Linked DNA regions of Xenopus tropicalis. The protein of the gene in region 2 interacts with the protein of the main gene of each other region in a biochemical or structural test. Links are inferred from orthologs where the notes say so. Each region holds a gene or a part of one and is shown on either strand. Other genes may lie near its edges.

Region 1 (3,434 bases), on a different chromosome or scaffold from region 2:
GAAGTGCTCAGGGACTTGGATTGTAAGCTCTGTGGGCCAGAGTGTGCGGTATTAATATGCTCACTACCCATCAGCAAAGAGGAATCTGCCATAGAAGTGCCTATAATGTGTAGCTCCACCCCCCGTCACTGGGCAAGGGCATGTCACGTGGCATCGCTGCTTATATCTGGCGGGGGCAGAGAAACCTCCCATATTCATCCCAGCGCTGTGCCCCCATGCCTGCTGGCTGGTTCATGCTGTGGGCACAAATGCCAGGAAGGGGGGATCCAGCTGTGAGTGGGGCGGAGCATACATTGAGTACGTTGTCGCGTGGCGCCAGTGCAGCACTCACTCCGCTCTGTATCCGCAGCCCCTAAATACATAAAGATGTTCGTGTTGGATGAAGCCGACGAGATGTTGAGTAGAGGTTTCAAGGATCAAATCTACGACATATTCCAGAAGCTGAGCAGTAATGCCCAGGTAAGTGCCCGCAGCCTCTGCCTGATTGGCCTAACCTCCCCGGCTATAGTCCCACCCTCACGGGGCACGTGCTGAGCAACAACATCCTGCCCCGAGGTACCACATTCCCTCTGTCTTGTGGTTTGTACAATGCTGCACTGATTGGAGAACGACTCCCTGTACAGCCAATGAGAGCTCATGCCCTCCCCCTGTCATTTCCTCTCAGCCAATGAGACCTTATGCCCTCCCCCTGGCATCTATTGGCCAATAAGACTGTTCATGGTTGCCCCCAGACTCACTTTCCAATGGGGGCTCAGTGTAGTGATGATATCCCATGCGTGTCATCTGATGCCCACGTCTCTCTCTGCCCTTGGCCTGCGCAGCCTGCGTCCTGCGGGTTGGGTTTGGCTAGAGCAGAGGAGTCTGGGAAATGATCTGACTGTCTATCTGAATACTTGCCCCCCTTGGAACATGAAGAGGCAATTGGCTTGGTGCTGGGCAGTTAGTGGCTGCAGATTAACAGTGTCTTCTCCCCCAGGTGGTTTTGCTCTCGGCCACCATGCCCGCCGACGTGCTCGAGGTGACCAAGAAGTTCATGCGGGACCCCATCCGGATCCTGGTTAAAAAGGAGGAGCTGACCCTGGAGGGTATTAGGCAGTTCTACATCAACGTGGAGCGAGAGGTAGGTGCCTTCCTCTGGGTTCCATTGGCCCTGGGGGGTGGAGCAGTCGTTGGGATTGCACCATTACCCCCTCATAGGGGAAAGCCAATAGGAAAGCTTTAGTATATGGGGGGGGGCGAGGGTGGAAGGTGCCCCGTCACTGGGCAAGGACTGGTCTGTCTGTGACTGTGCTTCTTATATCTGGTGGGGCGAGAGCAGCGGCCCATATTCATCCCAGCGCGGCTCCTCTGTGCCTGACGGCTGGTTCATGCTGTGGGGACACTTGTAGTGAGGGAGGGGCCAGGCTGGATGGGGAGGAGCTTCCTTTTGCTGAACCCCTTTTGCCCCCCGATGCAGGAGTGGAAGCTGGACACATTGTGTGACCTGTACGAGACACTGACCATCACGCAGGCCGTAATCTTCATAAACACGCGCCGGAAGGTGGATTGGCTGACGGAAAAGATGCACGCGAGGGACTTCACTGTCTCCGCCCTGGTGAGTTTTGCCATCGGCCGCCTGTGGGGGTGCCATGATTGCACCCAACCCCCGTCACTGGGCAAGGACTGGTCATGTGACTATGCTTCTTATATCTGGCGGGGGGAGAGGAAATGATCCCATGTTCATCCCAGCGCGGCCCCCCCTGTGCTCGACAGCTGGTTCATGCAGTGGGGACACGGCCCCCTGGTGGTTTCTAGAGAGGAATTCTCACCCCCTTGTTCCCCCCCCAGCACGGCGACATGGACCAGAAGGAGAGAGACGTCATTATGAGGGAGTTCCGATCTGGATCCAGTCGGGTTCTGATTACCACAGATTTGCTGGTGAGTTGGTTGGTTCTGCTTGTGGGGCAACCCGCTTGGTTCTGCTTGTGGGGGTGTTCGCTTACAATGTGTTCTGCCCACAGGCCCGAGGCATTGATGTCCAGCAGGTCTCACTGGTCATTAACTATGATCTGCCGACCAACAGGGAGAACTACATCCACAGGTAAGTGGGCCGGCTCCTATTGGGCCAAGGGTATTCCCTCTCTGGCCAGTAGCCCATGCTGGTGTCAGAATGTAGACCCTTGGTATAGTAACGTCCATGCTCCACCGCGGTTCATGCTGCCTTTGTGTTCCGCAACTTAAACATGGCCGACACGCCGCTAACTGTGGCTCCTCCCCCTCTAACCTGTCCTGTTCCTTTAGGATTGGCCGAGGGGGCCGTTTCGGTAGGAAAGGAGTTGCCATTAACATGGTGACAGAGGATGACAAGCGCACGCTGAAAGACATAGAGACTTTCTACAACACCACAGTCGAGGAGATGCCCATGAACGTGGCCGACCTCATCTAACGCCCCCGCCGCAGTCGGAGGGGCAGAAAAACCCGAAAAAAACAGAAAAAAGCATAAAATGAAAATAAAAAGTCGGCCCCGGCTTTCTTTGGGGCATCCGCTGAATTATGGGGGTGTATAGAGCAATGACCATAGCGCCCCTGAGTGGGCGTAGCCTCCACTCCCTGTCACATGATCTGATTTTCTTTCCAATAAATGTTATTTTGAGGTATTGTGGCCGTAACCTGCATCCGTTGTTTCTTTCCTTCTGAAGTGAACACTAAACGTCACTTTTTCCCACCAAATCAGTGGACCAAAGTCCCCCCCAGCTCATCCCTTTAAGATCCGGCAGCTCAATGTGAGTTTTTTCTTTTTTTTTTTTTTACAAAACTCCCCAAAATTTAAAAAATACCATTTTATTTGCTTTTTCTGTATAGTATTTATTAAATAAAAATTTTTGCAACATAGTTTTGTCTCCTGTCTTAAGGCTTCACCCCCCTGCCCCCCAATAACCCCCCTTGTTTTATTACCCCCCGTGTAGGCGCTGTTTTTGGTGGGAAAGGATTTTCGGGCTGTGCTGCCCTCGCACGACTCAAGCGTCTATAGATAGATTGCGCCGATGATGGTTCCCGAGCTGCAATATGATTGGCCGTGGCACTTAACGCTTTAAGTGCTTGGCCATATGTCTCCCAGGTGCTCTGTTGCCTAGCAACGCATATTCCCTGTAGGGAAATAACATGGAAATGTATTCTGTGAATTGGTGACTGTGCCGAGCGTTACTGGGGGGGAGGGACATTCTCAGTTGGCTGGGAGCCCCCCTGTATTGCTCAGCCATGGTCCCTTATTAGGAGGGGCCCCATTTCCCTGCCCTAGTTACCCCATGCCTATTGCTATGTAATTAGTGCCCCTATTCCCATCAGCAGCTCTTCCTGCCCCGGTACATAGGGCATAACCTGCTAATGGGGCAGTTGGAATGTTGGTGGGATCAGGGTCTTTCTGGAAAACGCGAGCTGTTGGGAAATGTGCTTGT
Region 2 (3,656 bases):
GTGCCCATCAGTAAGGGCAGCCGTCCTATTGACACCACTAGGATCACAAAGATAACAAAGGTAAAGTCAATGGAAATGTGCAAAACTGTTTTTCTCTCTGTTAAGTAGTAGATTAAGAACTGTTGCTCTATGAAGAAATGGAAGACTGGCAGTTTCATGCTCTGAGTGAAGTCACTGAGTATTGGTTATATTGTGTTGATCTCACAGCTTGGTGCTATTGATTCAAATCAACTGCTTGCCCCAGGAGGACGTCTGAGTTGGGGTAAAGGAAGCAGCGGAGGAACTGGAGCCAAACCAGCAGAAACAGGTACTTAGAATTTTATCCGTCATAGTATTAGCTATGAACGATTGAGTAGCGTGTAACCATGTCTTCTTAAACTGCAGCTCCAGAATCTAGTCGGCCTGCGACCAGCACCTTAAACAGGTTTTCTGCCTTGCAGCAGTCTTCATCTGCTGAGAGTCAAGATGCTAGACGGCCCTTGCATCGGTATGGACTTACTGCAGTGTATTGCTGAAAACTTTAAAAAAAATATAGTAGTGTTATATATGCATATGAAACATTTCTTTAAGAGCTATAATGAGTTTGCACTGGAAAACTGCATGGTTTGTAAAGAGCATAAAATAGGAATTTTCTTCTTTCATTTAGCTGCAAAAATGATTAATATAAATATGCTTCTAGTAATGTTTACTCTTTGCTCCTTGAGTTACCTGATTCTTATTGAAGAAAAACTGAAAATATTCTGTACCTGATACATTGTTCTGTGATTTTTACTGTTATGGGGAGAACCAGTACCACATTCCAGACACATTATGTAACCATACCTACGGATTACACAGATTGAAAGGAAACCGTGATGGTCTGCCTGTGATTGTAGGAAATAATTTCCCATCTCCCTTAGGTTCAGTGTAATGCAGTACCTCCCTCATGTTGATTCACTGGATACTGGGACTGCTGCTACTTTCTAGATAATCTGGGTGCCAAACACTATAGTAAGCAGAAGGATCTTTGGAATCAGGCATATCTATGTTAATATTGCTCATATTTATTTCTGGAAGTTCATTGAGTGGCCACGCACCTTTTCTACATAAATTAAGCTGAATGAGCAAATGTCAGAAAGGGGTTCTATTTTCTCTGTAATCCAAATAGCATAAAAAAAGACTCCATTTTAATCAAATAATTTAAAAAAATAATTTTCCTTTTCTTTGTGTAATTGTTGGGAGCTGGCAAATGCATTATCGTTTCATGTATATGTAGTCAGGACTAACAGTGCAGAGAATAATTATTTTTGACACCAGTTAGTTGGTTACTTTTTGTCCCATGTATGGAAAGCTTTATGGCAAATCATTTTGTTTGTAGGGGAAGTTCTAGTCGGGAACGTTCTGAAAAAGATCGTGGAGACAGATTTGATAGAGGTGAAAGGTTTGATAAGGGAGAACTGTTTGATAGATCTGACCGTTCAGATCGAGCTCGTCCTCTTCTTACAAAGAGAAGCTATAGCAAGGAAACTGAGGACCGTAGCCGAGAAAGAGAGGCCCATATACCACAGGAGGCTGTGAGGAAGGTGGCAAGTATGACTGAGCAGCGGGACCGCAGCAAAGAAAGTGGTAAGTGAACTCAGCCTTTTGCGTTTATTTGTTGTTATATCTGACAATAGGTTGTCTCTTGCTGCTTATGTTATCTGTTGTCCTTTAGGGTTCTAACTGTACCATTGATACTATCTTGGAAAATCACCCATAGAAACAGATTTCTTGGGGATGATACTGCTTTTCTTTAAAAAAACATAACAAAACATAATTTTTATTATGAAACCAGGTCCTGGAAATGGCATGGACCTAATTACATTGTCTCATTTCCTAACTCACTAGCATTTTACATGCCACCTCAATGATCACTTTGTGCTTAGGGCAAAAAATTACTTACAGGACATTGCTGAGATACAGAACACATTGTTCAGTGTGCACATGGGGTGGATTTCAGCACATAATCATGTAAGCTATGAATTTTTATACCAAACTCCACCCCTTGTGGATTGACAGGCCAGTGCATGGTCCATCAGTGCATACACTAAAGAGGGCAGATGGGAGCCCCTCCCATCTGTGTGTGTGTGTCGCTGGCAAAAAAGAGGCAATAGGAGAGGAATAGGTCTCTGGTAGGGCTGCAGTTTTGTCTCTGGCTCACCTTTCTGCTTCTCACTGTATCATAATTATATTGCAGTGAAAAAAGAAATTCCAGCACCGACAGCAGTGGTTGCCTCATCAAAGCCCTCTATGTCTGAGGATGAGCTAGAGAAGAAATCTAAAGCCATCATAGAAGAATATTTGCACATTAATGATATGAAGGTGAAGTAGCCTTCTCTTTATTTTCCTATCCTATTGTAATTTTTTCTTACAGGGTTTTAACAAACACTGTGTTTTGCAGGAAGCTCTTCAGTGTGTAGTGGAGCTTAATAGTTCAACGCTGCTTTTTATCTTTGTGCGGAATGGGATTGAGTCAACACTAGAGAGAAGCACTATTGCCAGAGAGCATATGGGTCTCCTTTTGTACCAGTTAGTAAAGGCAGGAACTCTGTCCAAGGAGCAGTATTACAAAGGGTATGTATGCCACTGTAAACACTGTGAATATTTAGGGAGTGTATATGTACCATTGTTCTTTGTTCATGCTGTGTGAAGTATCTCTGCCACTATAAACGTTGCACAACGTGCTTATAGCCTTTTATCAATCGGTAGTAATTATTTTTTCCATTCAACTCTGTCCAATAGGCGAATAACCGAATCCGTCTGTGGATTCGGTGCATCCCTAATTATTATTAATGGTTGAAGTGCACTTTGGATCAGAGTAGAAGTCTCACAAAGCAAATTGCAGAATCTAATATACCATTTGTGCTGCCTAGATAGATCTGTGCCTAATTTAAATGCCGTAAAGATAAATTTTAGGGTAGAGTGGATCACACATTAGAAAATAATGGCTTATGAAAACAAAATCAAACCACATTGCAACCAAACAGTTATGTGGTGCCTTGAGTAAATTGAGATTATTCGCCTGCCCTAGAGGAGATTAATAGCGAGTTTACTAATCTTGTCTGTCGGGGACCTAAAAGGTAATGATGAAGTAGTAGATCAAAGCAAGTTGGTAGGAAATATCGCTGTCTCTTAAAACTACTACCCAGTCAATCATTCGGTGAATAAAGCTTTCAGATTCTTCTGATTTCCTTTCTCTTTGTCTCTTCAGTTCAGTGTTTTTTGTTTGTGTTTTTAGGGTGCTTGAAGTTCTTGAAGTAGCAGAAGATATGGAAATAGATATACCCCACATCTGGCTGTATTTAGCAGAGATAATCAGCCCTGTGCTGCTAGAGGGGGGGATTCCGATGGGGGAGCTGTTCAGGTAAGATTCATCTTTTTTGTGATGACTCCATAAAGTGGCTCTGTGGACAAAGGAGGTAGACGGGTTTAACAAGTATTTATAGAGAAGTTTTGGGTACTACTAACGATTAGGAGGGGTGGATAAGGGAATTCAGTTTGCCTTGGACTGAGAAGTGGGTTAGAATTTCAGTTCCTTTATCTGACACCTTTGTGCTTCCACTTCTAGAGAGCTGACCAAACCTTTAGTGCTCATTGGCAAAGCTGGAGTCCTTCTGGCAGAAATCCTTGGATTATTG

Evidence for each region.
Region 1: the proteins of eif4g1 (region 2) and eif4a1 form a complex in vitro, tested with the Homo sapiens proteins (3 studies listed by IntAct, with this or other methods). The link is inferred for Xenopus tropicalis from reciprocal best matches to the Homo sapiens genes EIF4G1 and EIF4A1.

What each region holds. Positions count from the first base shown.
Region 1 is NC_030679.2:152,585,994-152,589,427, reverse strand, and holds the end of eif4a1 (eukaryotic initiation factor 4A-I), read left to right. Parts: intron 1-349; coding exon 350-459; intron 460-753; exon of another isoform or gene 754-894; intron 895-976; coding exon 977-1,120; intron 1,121-1,456; coding exon 1,457-1,594; intron 1,595-1,827; coding exon 1,828-1,917; intron 1,918-2,000; coding exon 2,001-2,080; intron 2,081-2,280; coding exon 2,281-2,425; 3' UTR 2,426-2,871; downstream 2,872-3,434. UniProt on the Homo sapiens protein: ATP-dependent RNA helicase which is a subunit of the eIF4F complex involved in cap recognition and is required for mRNA binding to ribosome.
Region 2 is NC_030681.2:99,792,865-99,796,520, reverse strand, and holds part of eif4g1 (eukaryotic translation initiation factor 4 gamma 1), read left to right. Parts: coding exon 1-60; intron 61-207; coding exon 208-307; intron 308-384; coding exon 385-487; intron 488-1,357; coding exon 1,358-1,605; intron 1,606-2,215; coding exon 2,216-2,340; intron 2,341-2,419; coding exon 2,420-2,592; intron 2,593-3,256; coding exon 3,257-3,382; intron 3,383-3,586; coding exon 3,587-3,656.